Lepisosteus oculatus: one gene and its partner. The protein of the gene in region 1 interacts with the protein of each later gene in a biochemical or structural test. Links are inferred from orthologs where the notes say so. Each region holds a gene or a part of one and is shown on either strand. Other genes may lie near its edges.

Region 1 (11,301 bases):
AAAACTGTATATTTTTGGTCTTTGTTCTTTGTTTCGGTCTTGGCATTTAAAGTAACACAGGAGGTTGGCCATGGCTGTGTTTAGGATTATTAAAAAGACCTTACAAAGTATAATGGAACAGGAAATTGGTAAATCTGAATGAATTGTATTGAGGAATTCTGATTATTTTCTTTGCGCTAACCTTAGATTGCACCATAGATTGTATCTAGGTGTATAGTAAGGTCTTCTGAACCCAAAAATGTCACAACGAGTAGAACAGTGCCTGATTGAAGATCCACATTGACAGACAAGTTGACTTTTTTGCAATTTTTTTCATATTGTTGTTTTCTACGACCTGTCTTATAGGTGTTGGACAACAAAATACAGGGGGGAATTTTATGAAGAATCAGTCTCCCTTTGACGCAACAAATTCAGGTGTTCATCCCGTTACAGTGTGAAGGTTAAATCCCTGGTTTCCATTCAAAAGGATAGGGGGGTGCAGTAATGATACAATGCCAAATAATTGGTCATCATTTGTCCAATCATTGGATCATTTGTCCAGCAGCAGCGAAAGTCTAAGAAGTATTTAAAAGATCAAGAATCACAATAATGTGGAGACTTGAATAAAACATGTTTTCATCAATAGAGATAAAATAAAGGCCTTTAAATGAGACCTGCTTGGACTGTAAAATTGCCCTTAGAGTTACTGTACTTGATCCACAACAACCACAGCTCTATTTTAACAACTCAGTTATCCACAGACATAATGTAGAGATTGAATCTGATTTTTTGTAGGAGTCATCACCCCTTCTATGGCTGTTTGCACAGGACTTAAGAGTTTGAGCACAGGGGGACATACAGTATTGCTTTTCAAAGACAGGAAAAGTTCATGTTGCTTTTGAGGAATGTATCTTCAGGGGAAAAAATCATAGAAACTTTAGAAATATTTCTAGAAGGAAGGTATAATATATTAACATTCATAAGCAGATATGAGAATATTCTAAGTATAGTAGAGTTGCAAAAACTTTTTATGCTGACAAAAAATAACATCTATTCACATATAACCTTGCACTCGAATTGATTTAGTAGCCACTTTCACAATCTTTCAAACTGAGAATGGAAAAAAATAAATGATTTATCCAACCAAACAATCATTCATTTTAAAAATAAGCAAAACAATACACTGATGTATCCATCTGGAAATGTCGCATTTAAACATTATATTACAACAGCATTTTCAATTTAATGCAAAAAAAAAAACAAAACATCTATTGAGTTTTGAATATCTGACATGAACTGAAAAATGAGAACTCCATATAGAGTTGAATGTTGGCCAGGTTTGTGGAATTGTGCCAGGTTCTCAGGCGGAGGTTGTTGAGAGAAGGTATTTTGATTAAGTAGAGGGGGTGAATATGCTTTAAGGTCAACAAAACCTCAGACTAACAGGTTGCTCTTCCCTGGATGGATTCCACAGCATCAATATCGTTTTTGTAACATAGTCCATGACTAAAATAGTTCACAGTATTCTAAATGAGGACTTTTAACATAACATCCCTTGATTTAACTTCTACTATTTTGACAACCCATCCTTTTTATTGTCTGGTCTTTTAAATTACTTCCCCTCATCATTTCCTTAAATCTATCTACCTTATGTTAATTGTGCTTCACCATACTGTAAACACCTGCATCTTGTTACACGAGTAGCCTGTTCACATGTAGCATTTCCCACTTTGTATTTATAGCTAATGGCTTTGCTGCCTGCCTGTTATGCTCCCAATCTTGAATTGTATCTATTTTTATTTCATTTGCTGCGGTACAGTTTTTACTAATCATCCTATTTTGGTATCATCTGAAAACCTAACCAACTAGTTTACAAACTATACCAAAGTCTTGATCAATGTTTTGAACTAGGAACAGCAGTGGTCTTATGATAATCCCTATATTACTCCATTATTTATATCATCCCAGTTTTAGCATTCACCTTTTATCTGTACTCTTTGTTTTCTATTAATCAATCAATTTTCAACCCCCTCACATTTCTCAGAATGCCTCCCATCTGTAATTTGAAAATGTTTTTTTGAGGAAAGTTATCAAAAACCTTCTGAAAATCAGAAATAAAATAAACAAACTATATCGCATGTTTAGTGTATTTTCATTCCTACTGTTGTTTGTTCAAAGAAGTGCAACTAGTTATTAAAGCACAACTTACCTTTTCTAAATTAATGTTGTCCGTCCTCTAAGATCTTATTTGCATATATCTGATCTTCTAGTTCTAATTTGTGTTTCCAAACCTTACATGTAACAGAATTCAGAATTATTGGTGAAATTGGTTAAGTTTTGTCACCTTTTTATGGATGGGAACTTGCTTATGCATGACATCTCTTGTTTCCTTAAATTCAATTAGCAGGATACACTGGAGATTTATTAATCTAGAGTTCTCCTATTACCCTAAACACCTTTCTCTTCTCAGCTTATACTAATTAATACAGATGTTTGTTCTTCTGCTGCCAGAGGCATGTTATTAACTTCCTTAATGAATACCTATGTAAAATACTCATTATAGCCACTTTCCTCTCATTGTTTAGAAGTTTAGAAGTTATTGTCCTATATACATTTTACATCTGCTGCTCTACTTTTGATGTTGTAGTACTGACAGATCTTTTTATCATTTCTTTTAGACTGAATTGCTATATTCATTTTAGTCACTTTATTGTCATCTGCTAGAATTGGCCAGAATAAACATTATACATTGCCCAATCACAATGCATACAATCCACTTTTGTTACAATCAGTACTCTTTCATTTTAAGAGATTTATGTAATCCAGAACATGAACTGAATCATAGACTAGAGCTATCTAGACGGACCCAGTGTGTAAAGAATTAGTAATAATTAGTAATTCCTTGCATTTGTATAACATCATAGCAAACATGGGCATTCGGATACACTAAACCACAAGGCATTTACAAGTAAAGAACATAATAATGATTAACAGTGATTATAGGAGAACAAGCCTCAAGGTTTTTTTTTGTGAATCCTGTCACCCCAAATGTAGAGGACCACTTTAAGTGAACAAAATATTGCTGTTTTTTTTTATTTTATATAATAAATAAACAAATCACAGTTTTGTTTGTCAGCAATGGGACGTTGCTTCAGGACTGCAATAACTTCAGATTTTCCAAGTTGATTTGTTTATACCTTCCGGCAGTTGATGCCAATATTTAATCGTTGTGTCTTTAACATTCCAATACTAAATTTCTGTGATTGTTTATAATGTGCTCCTTATTGTATACTGAAATGTCCTGGACAAAATAACATGATTGATAACAAAATAATATCTACTGATTGTATCAATCGTCTTTTTATCAACCCCCTTCGAGTAATGAAAACTAATCATGTAACTGTCAGTTTTGGGAAATTGCTAGAAATATCTAGTTCTGAGACCTGAGAGTGATTTCCCTTCATATTGTGTAAGAAGGCTTTGTTGATTTTCTATACTTACCTGAAGTGACAAAAACAAGTAATCATATAACATAAAAGTCACGTTAACCACATTTTAAGGCTGAAAGAGGACAGCACAGCACTGTCACAAAGTATAAGGGCAGAGTTTTTCTTAAGAAAAATCAATCTCTTTCACTGAGAAGTTGTGGTAGTAATGGCAGAGAAAGACAGAAATCTGACATACACTAAATAATAAAGACATAAGTAACTGTTACAAAAAAACAAGACGTGAAGATTAGCAAACATTTGCTTTTGAATTCTTTCTGTGGTATATTTACACACCACTTGCTGTGAAAACAGATTTTGACACAGTTCTTCAATCTGAGGATTTGATTACAGTAATATAGTTTGTCTAACCAATGCAAAGTTATTGCTCTTATTTTTTATTATTATTAAGCCTGGAACATTTATATGGTACATTTGGCATGGTTGTGCTCTGAAACATACAATAAGTTAACTTGCTTTCACTCTGCTTTCCTTAATTCTTACTACACTTTAGGTGTGCTTTGTTGGTTATAGCACAGTACTTATGCAGGATCAGCTGTGGCAAATCATAATATTATCATTGGCTTCGTGTTACAACATATTGGAAGGTAACAATCTGCACATTTGGCATGTTAGTACAAAAGATGAAATCTCAAGGAATATCATGGAGCATTTGCTGACAGTGTTTAAGAACCTGTGCCACACTAAATAACCACAAGCACTCTTTGAGAAGAATGCACCAACAAAGTTGATCATATATCCCAAACACATGGCAAATGCTGTTAAAAACCAGCAGCCACTGTTTCATACTTTTTATTACTGACAGTTATAAGACAAATCTTTGATTCACTTTTACTGTAAGTTATAAACAGATGTTCATTTATGGCAGCTGATAATTAAAAAAAAAATCTTGCTTGCATAATTTGATCTACTCTTGCTTAAAAATAGTATTTACCCTCAGTGATATTACCTTTCCTTCAGGTTTTATGGTAAACAGTTGCATAAGTTGACATTTTAATACAGGGGCAGTTAATTTCAGTCCTTCGAGTCTGGAGTCCTAGTTTTCATTCCAACATTGAATTTACGACCTTAATTGAACACATTATTTGTTAAGAATTTAAATTAATTGTTTTTTATTAGCTGTTCAGTTGTTAAACGTAAATATCTCTAAACCCAGGAGGACTCTAGACAGAGAACTGGAATTAACACCCTCTGCTTTAAGTGATCTTATTATTTAAAAAATTAAATGCATTAACATACCTTTGTTGTTTCTGTTATTTCTTCCAAAACGTGTACTTTTGTTTCTTGCGTCAAGATGAGCTGGTATTTCCAGAAGCTTTTCTCCTTTGTTTTTGAAAGAAACAAGTTCTTAATTTTTCTTAGTCTGCAGCTTAGTGGGGAGTGACACAGTTTTAAATATATCAAGCTTTCTAACTCAGAGGCATGTTAAGGGGGAGGATCTCTTACTGTATATGACATGCAAAGCCCTGCCTCTTATGTTTGCCATTTGAGAACACATTTGTTTGAAAGGCCAGACAAGTACTTTGCTTATGTGATTTATCTAGATTTATAATACTGTGCATTATGTAGCTACACTGGAAAGAGTGACATGGTCCTGCACAGTAGAAAAGCTTAATGTGTTTTACAGCTTTCAGTTCTCTAAAAATATAATCAGGAACCAGTAATCTGGCAAACAATGAGTGATAAAGAGGAAAGGCAAACAAGTTAAAATATTAATAGGAGGTACCATACAAAGTACCAAAAAGAAGACAATTGAAAGAAAATGATCTAATCATATGACAATGCACAGTAAATCATTAAAATGACTTTTTTGGGATCTTCAGAGGGAAGGTAGCACAAGGGAATGTGCTGCCTCCAAGCATTCAGATCACGGATTTGATTACCCACTGCAGTGCCTTCTGTATGGAGTCTGCATGTTCTCAGTGTGTTCTTAATTCTAAATGGGTCTAAATTGTCCCTGTATGTGTGCACTCTGTGATGCAATGGCTTGCCCCCAAGGGGGCAGTCACGCTAGCAGCCTGTACTCTGAGTTTCCTTGACCCTTTCCAAAACAACAAGCAGCTTATTGGAAGAACAGATGGCGGATTTTCAGCAGAAAACAAACATTCACAGCCCAATATCCCTGACAATGGTAGGTGATTCAGGGCTGCAATAGGTATAATTTTTCAGAATGATATATTGGCACTAGAAGTTGATATAATTTTAATATTACCATACTGATAACATTCAAAACTACAAGCAAAGCTAGACTGTTATGCTATAAGGGGAGGGTGTGCCAGCTGACTGTATTTGTCCTAATCCATTATCCTTCCATCCTGTATCCATGATGTTTCATCCAATTTAGGGTTGCAGGGGCACTGGAGCCTATCCCGGCAAGTGAGGGGCACAAGAGGGGATACACCCTCAACGCAATGCCAGTCACAGGACACACACAGACACAAGCACACATACACTCACACCAGGCCCATTTATTCCAGACACCAATGAAGCTACACAGTATAGGCAGACTCCAGCAGAAAACTGGGCGAAAACATCTGTGGAATTTAACACAAATTCCACCCAGAGAATATACAAACTCCACACAGATAGCACCCCAGGCCCAGAACTGAACCCAACACTTCAAGGCAGTAATACTAACCACTGTACAACAGATAATTATATTCAAATTATAATTTTTTCTCAATTTATACAGGATAATCTGAATAATTTGACAGTCACAGGATAATATGTTTTTAACAAGCGACATGTATTTGACTTAACTTTTATTTAGGTTTAAAATGCTGAGAAATAATTCATTTATTGCAAACTGACAACAGGGGTATTTTCCCGTGGGTCTCAGGAAATATCTTTTTATTCTAATTCAGTACTAAATATTAAAGGTCCAGCTACAAGGTTTTTTTTTCACCAGGGTTTATTACCATGCCTCACAGTTTAAATTGCTAACAGTGTTGTCAAAGGGAGTATTAATGAGAAGTTATTGGTCTTCTGACTTTTGGTAACAATTTTTGAAGTGGCTTTTGTATCCTTTATGAGAGGAGCATGATATAGAATAGTGTGTTACTTTTCAGTGCTGTGTCAGGTAAGCAAAGCCTACTTGTTCTGGTGGTACATGTGACAATCCTGTCGTTTGTGGGGAAGGTTTTCAAGTTGATACAGTACATTCATCTTGTTTCTACCATTTCATTAGAGAGCCATTGATTGCAAGTATTTGTAATTCTGTAATTGAATTTCTTCAATTACAGAAATGCTGCCTTTGTGTTGCTCCTGACCATCACTGGCAAATACTAAAAGCTTTAAACCAAAGGAGCCAAGTTATAGCCCCTTATACTGTACACTTGATTATATAATCAGAGATTATAACTCTCTGTTTAGGTTTAATGGGAAATCAATTGGTGAATCATAATGGTAGATTCAGGTACAACAACAGATAAAACACTGATTGTTCTGTAGCTACAAACAAGAATGTTTAACAATAAGCTGGATTTGGTTACATCATAAAACAAATTGAGGAAATGGAACATACTGTTCAAACACATTTTCCATCTTAGCAAATACATTAATGTCAATTACCATCAGAGGAATCGTAATTAGTTTTATGTGTTGAGCGATAAGCTATGCTGTCTGTGTAATTGGTTACATTGCACAATATTGCTCATTCATCTCTTTCTCCTTTGTTTTGCACAAATGTGTGCACCACAGTTTAAAATAATGTTTCCTTTGTTTTACCTTTGTTGATGACACATCTTTTGCAATTGGAGTGTCTAGCTCTGGTGTTTGAGGGCTTGTATGTGTGCTGTTTTATTAAATTCCAAATAATCACTTAAATCAACTCATTAACCTTAATTGGACCAATTTGGTCTCTCCAGGTGCTGGGGCTTTGAGGAGACATTTAGAAAACCAGCAGACACAGCAAGACCCCAAGACCAAAATGTGACTATCCTTTGTTAAATCAATACTGTAAACAACTTCAAGGTTTCAAATACAGTAAGACATGAGCAATATATTTTCATGGGAACTACTGTGTGACATAATCTAATCTGTAGTAGGTGTACTGTAGGTAGTACATGAGAGAAAACATCTTTGTCTAGTGCCCAGGAGCTCTGTCAGAGACTGCCAGCTGACCCTGCCCCTACTAGTCCCACTTGTGGCTAATAGCTGCTCATTGCAACACTCACTGTTTATACGAACACTTACTCACTCCTCTGTACCCTGATGTCTGCCAAAATTGGTTATTTTCCCAATTAAAGTGCTCAAACTTTTTAAAACTTTTTAAACTGCAAACAGTACGACAGCTGAACAGTGTGGTGAAACAGGAAATGCATATGTGCAAAAAGCTTGAGAAGTTGGAGTTTCAATTGTTATTTACCCAAAGGGGTGTACCTAATTGTTAATGATTTTTTTCGGCAAACTAAATTTTGCAAACTAGATGAAAATATGCATTGACTAACAAAAATGGGCCTGTTCCAGCACATCTCATAAAATGCAATTTATTTACAATAATGCATTCAGGTGATCTGAAGGCATTATCCAGAATGCATTTTAATGTCCTTCTCCAGAGAAACACACCAAGGTAGGGTACATACTGTACCAGTCCATCACAGGGCAGACATATATTCAGAATGCTCACACCAAACCAGAGCACCCAGAGGAAACACCCACACAAACTCTACACAGATAGTGTCCCAGGTCTGGATTTGAACCCAGAGCCCTATCACTACATGGCAAGAATGCCAACCACTGCACCACTGTGCTGCCCATGTCTGTTCATACAGAGTATTAAAGATTTTCTTTTGCCGGCTTCTAAAAGAAGAGCTCTGTCAGAGATTGCCTGACACACTCACAGGAGCCAGGTCTACAAGGGTTATAGGCTGTCATCTTCAACACCACCTTGATCAACTCAGATCCTGATATAAAGAATTCAGTTAATTTTTATGAATATAATGTAGCTGTAGTGGGCATTAGTGGGCTCAGTGATTTTGTACTGTGCTGATTGAATAATGATTAAACACTTCATTAGGGTTGAGTATCTACATATTCTAGTGTTAGCTGGGGATTTGTAAAAGCATCACATCTTGAGAATTTACATTTCACATGCTCAAAAATCCCTTAAAGTAAAACCCTCTAGCCTCTTAATGAGCATAACAGATTCAACAAAAAAGTACCTTTTCTTGTAAATTTGTATAGCGCTAGCTATGTAGTTTGAACTTTATCATTAAGCGTTTTAGAACTAATAAGCAAAAGACAAATTAACTAATGGGTTTTTGTATAGAGAACAGTAAATATTGGTCAGTGTTCTACAGTATTCCTAAATTGTAAGAAGTTCTGACAGAAACCCACCCTTACAGAGAGGAAAAGATCAGAGACAAGGTAATAATTCACAGGCAGATCAGCTTTATTTTTACTCGTCATCATATTTGGGAAGACCTAGCTGCAAAGATGTTATTTTACTAAACTAACATGAACTGAACAGGCTTGGGCCTTTGGTTCACACCAGTGCGTAACATCTGCTTGGCACTCCGTTTTTCCTCAACTTGTAAGAAATTTGTATCTTTTTTAATTTATTTGATTTTTTTTTCCTTTTTGGAACCTGGAAGATAGGTTCACAAATCCATGGATTCTGAAGAAGTACTTTAACAAGTTTGAAATTGTTAATAGGCTTTGGTGACCAGCCTCAGCAGCACTTCCTCCTTAAAACCTAGTTATGTCAGGTATTTTGTAGCCATGTCAGCGTATGTATTGTATTGGAAACCTGTAAGGAGAAACACAATTTTGCTACAAGACATGGAATTAGATGGTCTTGCTCTCGATTCTGGATTAAAGCAGATATATTAGTTTCACATTGTTGGCTACTGATGCAAGGGTGCAGTTAATCTAGAGAAAGAAACCAAATCACATTTTTGCTTATGCTGAGGACCTTAAAGCTGTCTCCACACACAATTGATGACATGTAAAACAAGAGTTAATAATATACAGAAACATATGGGAACACACACCCATGATAATAATTGTTAATGGTTTATAACTTGTTGACTGGTTTCTAGAGCAGCATGGTGGTACAGTGAGCAGCTCTTGAAATTTCTGTCAGTGCTGAGGCTCTGGGTTTAATCCCAGACCTGGGGTCCTCTCTATATGGAGTTGGTATGTTCCCAATTTGTTTATGTGGGTTCCCTCCAACTGTCCAAAACCTACTGGTAGGTTAATTGGCCTCTGGGAAAACTTAATTTATCTACTAACTTTGTTTACTATTTAATTGCAGAAACAATTAAAAAATAAATAGTTTGATTAAAAGTTCAATAGGTTTAATTCAGACAAGGTTTGGCTGGAAGGAGAACCAAAAAACTGGATTAATGCTGAGGAAATGACCTTCTGGCTACTGCTCTTCATTAGTAAAACACTTTACTCTTATTCCGGATGTGTTGTACAAGGTTATCATGCAGTGTTTGGGTCTCTGACTCCAGGAGGAGTGCAGTCCTGCAGGTTTCCATTCTAGCAAAATTTGTAATGCTAATAGAGCTAATTATTGTCTTAATTAGAGCAGTTTTATAGTTTTTCCAGCTCTTAGGTGATGCTGATGAAGAGACCTATAAAACCTGCTAGAATGTAGCCCTCTAGTAGGAGAGATAGAAAAAATAGAGTGCTAATCTCTTTCCATTTGTTTTATTGCAAATGATGCACAGTAGTGTTTTAGCCATAAAACACCTGTCACAGGAAGACTTACAGCACAATTAAATGTAAAGATTAGAAAGCCATAAACCTATTTCTGAAAGAGTGAAAAAGAGATAGTATGATGTAGACCTACACTATCAAAAACTGGATGTCAATATTCACCCAACAGAAGGCCTGGGTGATGGGAATGATGATATTTTCCTGTTTCAGAACGTTGCGTCATATTAATGTTTGTTCCCCCCACCCCCCTTAGCAAAATGCTGTTTAGTCTAATGAGGAACACATCTCAGAAGTTTATTAGCACACTGACATATCTTCCTTTTCTTAACAAAAGCCTTCCAACTAGTGTTCTGTGCATGTACTTTAGAAAAACAATTGTTGAGGGTACTTGTCACATTCCCTTTTTACATTTTATGTGTCGTGATTCATCTTGTTTCTAAATGAATAAGTCTCCGAAGTTTATCTGCTGTGTTGTCAATAATAGTAAATGTAGGGTGCTTACCGATGTACAGTATGTAACGGCCAGTAAACTTGAATACCTGTCGGCTTCCATTTCCTAGAAACACCAAGGGCGCCCCCTGGAGGATGCTGCTTATCTGTGTATGGTATCCACTACCGGTAGATGGCAATGAGCTATGTACTGCGTCCAGTCCATTGTGGCCAACGAATTTTGGACAGTTGTGCGTTGTTGTTGTTGTTGTTGTTGTTGTTTTTCACTATTTCTTGTTTAAGGAAAAATAGGATAATGCACGCTGAATAATAAAATATCTGCTCCGGAGTTGGCACTTTACCACTTTAAAACCCAATACTTTTTGTTTTTCGGTAATTCCGTTTTATGAGTTTTTCCCCCATATATATTTTCCAGGAATAATAACTTTGAAAAATAAATATATATATATTTAAAATTGTCAAAGTCTCCGCTGCACATTTTGGTTATGTTAATTAAAGAATACGTGATGAATTCTGCTTCAGAGAAGTCATTTAGATATCGCTCCACTAGTCATCTACAGCAAGGTCAGTGACCATTCGTAGTGTGGTTCAGCTCTGACGAAGTTAGAATTCTAATGCTTTTTTGGTGGTTTTGTTACCAATAGTTATGTATACGGAACATCGATTCTTTGAGGTCAGTTTACACAGAGACAGAGTGAGC
Region 2 (10,234 bases), on another chromosome or scaffold:
CTCACTGCAGAAGACAGGGCCTGGGGACAGTGGGGCGGTGCACTACTGTACTGTGTCAGAGAGAGAGGGTTGGGGTCGTTACGTGACAGGCAGAAGGATCATACAGTTTGCAAAACACACTTTCTACATGTATCAATATTACAGAAAAACATAAAAAGATAGGTTTGTGAATGATCAGTGTTGTGAGCTAATGCCCAGTAAGTCAATATCAAATATATGTAAAGTATTGGTATGGCAGGTAACCGCATAGTACCATATATTTTTACATTTGACGAGCCTTGTGAATATTTTATTGGATAAAACCAATGATTAGCATGTATTTATTTTTTCAATTATTCTTGTTCTTGTTAAAGAGCAGAAACATAAAACTTAATTATCAAGATTGTACTTGAGTGTCATTAGTGGAGTCCCATAGGGATTCACAGCTACATATTTTATGTTCTTACGTATCAAATAATATATCAATAGACCAGCTATCTATCTAAATTCTGATACAGGTAGTAAACTTGTCAAGTCACAGTTGGTATAAAAACAGTACAGGATCGGCAAAGGAAAATCGAAGAGACAGACAAATTGTGTTTGAGCAAACGCTGGCATGGATATTTCATGTAGAGAAGTACAGAATATTACACACAGGGAGAAAAAAACACTGAGCTAGAAGATGCTGTCTATGAAAAAGGCTTAAAGTCTTTAAGCTGTTATCATTTGTCTTAAAGACAAACGTCTTAGAGGGGAAGCAATAGAAGTTTAACAGAGATTAGGATGTATATTAACAGTGCAGAATTCACATCAAGGGACGTTGTGTTAAATTTGTATTGCGCACCACTAAGAGCTCAATTAGGATACTGTGTACAGTTTTGGACACCACGTAACAAAAAAGTTTTTTTCTGTTCTGGAGTCAGACCAGAGAAAAGCCACCAGATACATCAATGAATGCCCTACCCTGACAGGCTAGAATAGCGCAATATTTTCTGTCTTGAATAGAGAAGAACATGAGGGGACCTGTTTCAAGTACTCCGATTCTTGAAGCTCATTGACAAATTTCTTCACGTGGAGACCGCAGGGCAGTGCATTTAAAACCCGAGGACAGCGGGCGCCTCACTCCACAGAGGGCTGTGGGAGCACGCGCAGTTCTGTTGCGAAAGTTGACACCCCGGCCTCTTTCAAGAAGCCGGTGGATGAGATGGTCGGATCAGCCACAAGGTGGATGGGTGATACAGCACATGCATGTGCATGCTGGAATGTTGTGGCTCTGTACGACTGATGCTCATCTACCTATTCACCAGTGAAGGAGACGGACAAGACACAGGCTTACCCAGAAGGGCCTGGAACAGCTGGCTGCCGAAGATGGCGGTGACTTTGCCCACGCTGGCTCTCAGAGGCTGCTCCTCCGGGCCAGTGAGGCTGGCCTGGTACTGCCTGAGCAGGCTCACAGCCCTCTGAGTGTCTGCGGGACAGGGGACAAAGGAGTCACACAAGGCAAAAGGAAGCATCGCAGGCCAGTGTCATTCAGCCATTCGTCACCCTGAGCCACGGACACGGCTAGCAGAGGAGCAAAGAGGCTACCAAAAACAGGTACAGGGCTGCATTCATCTGAAGGTCACACAGAAAAAAAAGTGCTCTGTACCTCTCTGTCACTAGTTAAAATAGGACATGTCTAGCAACATTCTAACTATTATTAAACACCTGTGTCAGTTTCTTATTACAAGTCCAAACCAGGTCTCAGCATGCTTATTTCTGTAGGAAGCGAACCTTGTGAGTAAATCTGCTGTCTCAGGGTGTAAAATGCGACAACGTGACACACTGTGCAAAGCACTGGGTGCATCATTTATCAGCTTCCCACCAGAGGGCAACTTGGAAACGGAGGTTGGCAGCGCTGCATGAACTCAGGGGCGAGCTCACCTCTGTCGCCGGAGCCGAGCAGCACACCAAGTCGAAGACGAACGCTGAAATAACTGCACAGCCCCGGAGGTTGCAATGCAGCAGCCGCAAGTTCACTCTTTAATACTTAATTTCCAAACGAACCAGGTCTGGGAACGTCCTTTTAACAATCAGAACATGTCTGATACTCTGGCAGTTTTAGGGTCTTTAGTCCAGTTGTGTATGACTGCTTACACAGGTTCCCTTGTGTTGCTTTGCTGTTAAGGGATGTTACACAAAGCAGCCCAACACACTGAAATCAATATCACAGTTAAGGGAGGGAGTCCACACTTCCCTGCCTGGGACTGACTCTTCAGCCTGGGCCAGAATCAGTTAAATATCTCTAGGAAAAAGTGTTTTAAAGCCAAAATAGCAGCGTATTATTTAGATAACATGTATAATTCACACAGTAGTATTCTGTATACAGTTGCCAATTCTGTGGCAAGCATTCCAGTGGAAAATTCAGCCTGTGGATTTTCTCAGGGAGTGACTTTTAATATTTAAAAAACCTAGACTTGTGGTGTATCACAAGCCATAGCTCCTGCAGAGCAGCACTAATTCCTTAATAGACCTGTGAGCCAAATTCCTCCTGCTTCCGAAGCTCACGACAACACTTACCCATGTCTTGTTGACCTATGACCCCTGGGGACAGATGTACCTCATTTTCCCGGGCAGCTCCATTCACACAAGAGGACAAAATTCCACACCAAACATCCCACGTGAGCACAAAGCTACCCCTTGATCTGTGCACGGAGACTCAGATCTTAAGTGCCTTCATTCCAAACCATTTTTTGTGAAACTGCAGCTAAAGTAGTACTGTTACATTGCCCAGTAGTGATATAGTTGCAGTTACTGTTATCAGCAGTATTAAATTAATGTAGGGACTGCAGCACTAATCTGTAGATTTTTTTCCCGACAGGCAGCTGCAGGAGTAGCAGCTGTAGCTGCAGGTGAAAGCGCCAGTACACTGTTTTAATACTCATCATATGCGGATGTATAAGCAGAGCAAGGGAGGTAAATATTAGGGGATGCATGCAAAAGCTCTGCCCTCTGGTTTGCCACTTCATAGGCAAGAACATCTGGCATTTTGTAACCATAACAGCCCCGCAGTGCGTGCTCGCGTCCGGGATGCTCGCAGGGGCGTGACGGTGCGCTCCAGCCCCGTGCTGCAGGTGTCGGCCGCCCGCCTCAGGTAGCGGCTCACCTGGGGGGGCAGCGGCCGCCCAGCCTCCGCGTCCGTCCCTGCCCACACCCCCCCTCCCGGCCTCTCGCAAAACCGCGCTGCACTGGCACCGTGCGGATTATTGAAACTTTCCAAGGAAAAATACTTCCTGTTTCCCTTGAGAATTGCGAAAGGAGCGTCTGGCTTCAAACCGCTCCAGCATACTCGGAATGTGTTGAGTAATACTGAGCGCAAGTGCCATCTGCTGTTAGCGTTTTCATTCCCATCAGGTTTACTTCAGGAACAGGTGTCTGGCCCTTTTAACATCTCGCCGGCATTTGTGAAGTTTTATTAGAAGTTCGAACAAAATCATTAAGCAAAACAACAACAACGACAACATAAAACAGCCGTATCATACACACTTACCGTACTTGTGTACCATGACGTGAAAGCGATGTAACGATGAAGGGAACCGTTTCACCGAGTGAAGTTGTCTCTTCGGCACCCCTAAACCTTGCTAAAGACATATAACCTCACTTGGCAAAGGGGCGGACAGGAGAGCTTACTACTCGTTATGTTCACGGGCTTTCCCAAACTTTTTTAATAACTTCCTTTCGCAACTTCGGAAGAGCCGGCGACCCAAAACTAAAAAAAAAGAGCAGTCGACGCGAAAGGTTTCCCTTCGAAGTTGCCTCCTTGCCCGACCCTCCTAGGACGGACCGAGACACGGTGGCCGCCGCCGCCGCGCTGGAGCTATTTTTTCCCGGCTGTACCGGGGACGAGAGATCAGCCCCGTGTCAGAGCGAAAGTGTGCGGCCGCCGAGCCCCCGGCCTGCGAGGCGTCCTTAGTGTGGAACCCGGAGTGGGAACGGCTCTGGGACGCAGGGGAGAGGGGAGGGTGGGTCCAGCAGATCGCCTCCTTAGCTCCCCGCACCGCCGGACAGCGACCGCCAGGGGGCCGCCTTCGCGGTGCGTAAAGTTTTGGAAACGCACTCGACCAGACACTCACCGCCACGCTTCATTGACACCTGTTGCGGTCATAATGAGAAAGGCAGAAAGCAAAAAAAAAAAATGCAAAGTGTCTCGCATTTACCCTCTGCGGGATATGCTAGTTGAAGAGCTACGAACGTAAAATTAGACGTTTCTTTTTTGATCTGGGAACAAAAAGAATTTCTATTTTCAAGGGAGGAGTAGCGGTAGGTTTGTAGACCTGTTATGTTTACGAGGAGAGCGCAGCATTTACTATACCTTGATGTTCAATCCGGAGAGTAAAACTGTTCAAAAAAGCAGATGCAAACAGAACTCGTTCGCTTAAAATAGTTGTAGAAATGTACTGTTCTGATTATATCTTTGTGTGAGAGTAAAAGAGGACTCGACGATTCACTCACACCGAGCTTTTTCCTTCAGCTTTAATCTGCATTTTCCGATATAGTTCACACCGTTCAGGTTGTACCCGCAAAGAAAGATTGTCTCAGAAATACAATCAGTTTTGTACACAGAACGTATTGTGCCGTTGTAGCAAAGTTATAAATTGAAAGTCTTTCTAAAACGAGTTTCAGATGCACAGAAACGGAATATGCGGTGGCTGCTATCTAGTGGCGACGAGCCGCAGTACATCAATGCTGTCTTTTTTTAAAAACTAGAGGAAGCGGAACAAGCGCTTACAGCCTGTTTATCAAATCCGTTGGTCCCTGTGGAGCACCTATATCGTGCAAACCGCTCGGTGTGACAGTGACACGTGGAAAAAAATGCAGACGAGCCACCTAGAAACGCGCTTCCACGAAACAATGTCAGAACACCCCCACAGAGCACCCTGGTGTCCCACGCGTATGTGCTGCCGACGTCATTGCTCCCCAGTGCTGCTCTCGCAACACCGCGGTTCGAGAAGGCCAGCCCCGGGGGCCTGACACGAGTGGGAAATAAACCCAGCTATGTTCACGACAGAAAACAGGAGACGTTTCTCGGCACAGAGGATTGTGGGAATTGGAACCAAGTCCCTAGTCATGGCTGTGAAGTTGTGAGAAGCTACTGTACGCCTGTGGATCCTTTAAGAAGGAGAAAATCGTAGACTTAGAACAACAAGACACTAGAATCCAAATGAGCAGAAGTCTCAGAAGATGAGGAGGCATCTCCTGCTCTGGGTGCTGGGGAGTGGGCAGATCTTATAAGACAAAAGAACACCGTAAACATTTTATACACTCAATTTCTAACGTTTATTTGAGAGAAAAAAAACATTTCAAAATCACTTCCTTTTCACAGACCCAGGGAACACTTTGCACACAGAGAATGCCTAGAACAAACAGTTAATGTCTGAAATAGTTTCCAAGCATTTAATGGGAACCCAGCTCATTTCAAGGGACCCTTCAAGGATGCATGAGACGCTGACAGGCTTTGCAGTGGGGCTGCGGTCAGCCTCCGGTGAGCCGAAATGTTTGTTTACCGCCTCAAGGTCGTTGTGTGATTCCTCTCCCCCTTTCTGCAGCTTCGGTGAAACAGTGCATTGCCACGAAGGAGAGAAAAATCACAATACAGAAGACGGATATTGAACCGTTTACGGAAAACCAGGACTATTCAGTCACCCATCTGCAATCGGAAATTCCCGAGCCAGCTCTGGGTACACATTGCCACATCTCTGGCGGGGGCAGAGGGAGGCTCTGCTCAGAACACATGCACAGCATGCGATGGGCAAGACCAGGGCCCGCCTGCTCTCGCTGGGCAGGAGTTAGCCCATCTTCCAGGTGTCGGATTTTAAGGTTGCAGGAAACCTGCTGCATTCCGAGGGGCACACCTGGACCAGGCTGACCAGCACTGCTGCCAGGGAAGACACTCTGGCTGTGGAGGACTGAACACTGAGGGCTTTTCATGCAGCCACAGGGGGTCCTAGTTGGACAGGTAATCTGAGGGGGAGACAGCACACAAAGAGGCACTTCGGAGCATGAAGACGCTAGCATCTGACTTGTGCACGGGGACAGTGAGTGGCTCGCAGTGAACGCAGGGACAGCAGGAAGGAGGAAAAAGCCCCAGAACAGCCCAGTGTTTCACAGTATATAAGCAAAACATAATACAGACTTCACAATAATATCTGTACACAGGTAGAGTGCTGGTAGTTAAGGAAGGCACTAAATATGTAAAAAAAATAGTGTCTTTTAAAAAATATACTGTAAAATGTCATTGATATATCAAATGTTCCTCCAAAAAATAATTATATACCCTCAAAGCTCAAATACATACTGTCTACCGAGAAACATCAAAAGAGCGACCACACTGAAATTAACATGAACAAACCTCTGAATACTAAACTAACACAGTTACAAACATGGAACAAATCGCTTTAGGCAAATAGGCAACCAGTAAACATTTGTCCATTTTTGTGGATACAGTTTTTGGTTGCATCAGGGGCCAAAATGCCTTATGTCACACCCACAGAAAGTGTCATTAAGAAGGTCGTATGTTAAATGGGGCTCATGACAAGCTTTGAAGACTTCACAACACTTGACACGTATTGTGTCTCCCTCATTTACTATTGTGTGCATCACGCCACGCTGTCCCTGAGAAGATCACTGTGGAAAGTGCAATTCTGTTTAAGTGGTGCTTCAGCAGTAAACAAGTCGTGGACTAATTTCCTAGCAATGGATGCATTTTAAATCCGTTCTCTGAAAAACTGAATTTGCTACATCATTAATTAAAAATGAAATTACTGATACATTAATTGGAAAAATATATTTTGTAGAAAACCACTTTAAGAAGTCCATTTCTGTACAAACGTCATAAAACAATTTATCTGCTGAAATACACTCGACTGACTGACTACTTCAGTATCCTTAAATGTCTGACCATTATCCTGACAGGAGGACTTAAGTGAAATAAAGAATTTGACAAATGTCCACTTGAAATGTCTGTGCTAGACACAGTTCTTCTGACAAGGTAAATGTGGTTCATATACAGCTCTCTGTATATATGTATATTTCTGAGGAAATTTCACATTGATTCCTGTTCAGATGCAAATGGAATCTGTTTCCAGAATAAACCTGAAATGTTAGTCCTTTCTCATGTGTTTCTGTTTGAAATAATGACAGTGCAAAGCCTGAGCAGGCTTTCTAATCACCCAAAATGCACATCCCCCACATCATTCTGCTCCATGGTTTCAGTGCTTGAAGGACAGACAATCAACCCACACCAGTGCATTTGCAATGAAACCTTCTATCCATTAGAGAAGAGAGTCACAGTTACCCCAGACCCGTGTACCCCAAAAAACAGACTTCAGTAGAGAGGCAGCCCCCAGCAGCCCGGACACTTTGGAAGGCACCATAGAAAATGTCACCTTCCCCAAATGAGAGAGCTGTGCCTTCCTTCCCCAGAAAGTGCATGATGCTTAAGAGAGAATCCTAGATAGTCCCAGAGGTAGAACCCAGAACCAGACTGTCGTCGGCCCGGCTTTCACAAGAAGGTGTCCAGTTCTTGCTCATTCCATACTGAGTACCCGTTTCTGTGCTCCTCGCTCTCTGTGGAGAAACGGATACAGAGCATTTCAGTGTCTCCTCCTTGCTGCAACTCAGTGCACTCCACTTGCATGCAGGCTAAAGCTCTGACTTGTGACACATTGTTCCATTGCATTGCCACCAGGGTTTCTTTTCCCAGCATTATTCCTTACAAACAAGCAAAGTCTTCAAGTGGCTTCAACAGACACTGCAGGGGATTCTCTTGTTTACCCTTCCCATGTCCAGATCCATGCAAATATCTCATTTACTGCAGTAGTGTTCCAGCAGGACCTTTGTCCTCTTAAAAAACTCCAACATAAAAGGATTAAACTGACATGATTTTTTCAGTAAGTAAGATAAACCTTTTTTTGTTTTGTTGTTCGTGTAAAAATCTTAAACAGAATAATCAGGTATGTCTGCCCAAACACAGTTTACAGGAAACCTGTGAACAAGCATACAGTTTATGTTGAACCTGGTGTTATTGTTACCAGTGAAGAGAAAGCACTGAGCTTACAGTCTCCTCATTGTCAGATATGCTCAGAGTCACAGATGACACAAGAGAAATCCCCTCCTTCAAGCTCTTGACCCAGGCAGTGCAGCACAGAGTTTCTGTGTCTCTGGTCTGCTGTCCTACACTCCTTCTGTATGTGAAATGGTAATGAAGCGTACTCACCAGTCCCACGAGTGAAACGCCGCCTGGTTTAAAAACAGAGACAGAAAACAGGATCGGTCAGGTTGCACTTGTAAACCAATACTGGACCCACAGACAGCAAAAGGTCACAAAGCGTTTAATAATAATAGCAGACCTCTCTCAGCAGACCTCTCTCAGTGAGGCACCACTACAGTAACATTGGGATGCATGTCAATTTTGCAATGCCTTATGATCATTGATAACACCTACATAAACATTTTGTAAAATGTTTATAGTAAACATTAATACAATGTCTCCCCTATCATAATGCAGTATGCAATATCGCAAGCCACAGGCCTTCAGGAATTCAGTGGTGTTGCTGATCACTGGAAACTGGAGTGTCCTGACCGGCTAATCCCAACCCAGTCCAGCCTGGGAGAGCTAGTAACCCTAGCTCAGATTCCCAGCGCCAGGAACACAGAGCTCAGCCTGGGCTCAGTGAGTGTCTCATTAGAGATCGATGGTTATCTTAATTGACGGGTGTCAGCCCATCAGACCGAAGCACAGGGCCGCAGGTTTTAAAAAGCCAAGCCTCTCTGGGACTCACCTCTGTAGCAGGAACAGGCCCAGGATGACAAGCAGGAAGACAGAGTCCACGGTGATCCAGAGCATAGTGTAGGTATCGGGAGCCTGAAAACACGAGCACACAGAGGCTGGCCATCAGTCTACTGTGGAAACCACAGCTACAAATTCTTTGCCAGTAAACCGAGTTTCCTCCAGCTTTTGTATTTGACCCAAAGGGTTGTGAGAGTCTGTGCCTGTGGCTGGAAGGTTGCCGGTTCGAATCCTGTGACCGGCAGGGGAATCCTATCCATTGGGTAAAACCCTTCACCCCAACTGCTCCAGGGGCGCCGTATAAATGGCTGACCCTGCGCTCTGACCCCCAGCTTCTCTCCCTGTCTGTGTGTCTCATGGAGAGCAAGCTGGGGGTCATTTGAAAAGACAAATTCTTAATGCAAGAAATGCCAATAAAGTGATCTTAAAAACATGGAAACCTCAAAACCGTGGTCAAGCTCACGGAAATGCTAACAAAAGAAAATTCCTTCAAACCAGCCCAGATCATTTTTAAAAAAGTACATCTGTCCTATCATGCATTCAGATTTAAAGTGGAACTGGGGTTTTAATGCTTGATGTCATCTCATGCACCAGGGTGGGGTATGCACTGAGTATCTCCTCTCTGTTGAAAGAAGAAGTCCACGATGCTGCACGAGCACTGTTCACGGACGTTAGTGAGCGGCGTGGAAGGGGGCGTGTGGGAGTACTCACGAGGATCCAGGCGGGCTGCGTCATGTTCTTGAAGTGGCGGCAGGTGTTAGTGGTGACGGAGGTCACCCCCGAGCACCAGAGCAGAGAGAAGAGCCAGGACTCGTTCACCACGTACAGGTTGACCGACACGTTTCCCCGCCTCAGATCCCTGCCGGCAACCAACACAGACGCCAGTCACGCGCCGGCTCGCTCTGGGGAAACCCTGGAGCCATGGCGGCTCTCCGCAAGTGTGACCGTTGCGGTTCCGCGCGGCCTCGTGCCCTTGCCGCTCCACCCCACCGGTTCGTCCCGCCACGCCTGGGGCACGAACCCGGGTCTCCGGCGTAACACAGCAGGGAGCCAGCCGAGTGAGCTTAAGGAGACCCCCCCCAGCCCAGGCGGCTGAGGCCCCTGCTACGCGGAGGGAGGGTGATAACGTCACCGTGTCCAGACCAGCTCCGCCACACAAGCACAAAGCGGCAGCAAAGTCAACACGGGAACGAACAATGCAGATCTGCTGCGGACAAACACGACAAACAGCCATACAAGAACACAATCAGGGAGCACCAGGCACCGGCCCCCAGTGCTCAAGCCCACCTGATCTCCGCGGGGGTCAGGCTGCTGTATTTGAGGTTCAGCTGGTCTCCTCCGTCATCCTCCATCAAGGATTTATTAGCATAGACATGCTTAAAATCTGGGGCCTTCATCTTCACAAGTTTTCTGTACCGAGATGGCAAC

Evidence for each region.
Region 2: the proteins of cysltr2b (region 1) and dlg3 interact in a test that uses a peptide from one of them, tested with the Homo sapiens proteins (2 studies listed by IntAct, with this or other methods). The link is inferred for Lepisosteus oculatus from reciprocal best matches to the Homo sapiens genes CYSLTR2 and DLG3.

Annotation. Positions count from the first base shown.
Region 1 is NC_090700.1:17,324,948-17,336,248, reverse strand, and holds the start of cysltr2b (cysteinyl leukotriene receptor 2), read right to left. Parts: upstream 4,876-11,301; 5' UTR 4,725-4,875; intron 1-4,724. UniProt on the Homo sapiens protein: Receptor for cysteinyl leukotrienes. The response is mediated via a G-protein that activates a phosphatidylinositol-calcium second messenger system.
Region 2 is NC_090703.1:49,923,808-49,934,041, reverse strand, and holds the start of dlg3 (disks large homolog 3), read right to left. Parts: upstream 4,051-10,234; 5' UTR 3,525-4,050; coding exon 3,509-3,524; intron 1,448-3,508; coding exon 1,316-1,447; intron 1-1,315. Other genes in the region: glycerophosphoinositol inositolphosphodiesterase GDPD2, read right to left, coding at 7,520-7,584, 8,234-8,256, 8,799-8,881, 9,518-9,665, 10,094-10,234. UniProt on the Homo sapiens protein: Required for learning most likely through its role in synaptic plasticity following NMDA receptor signaling.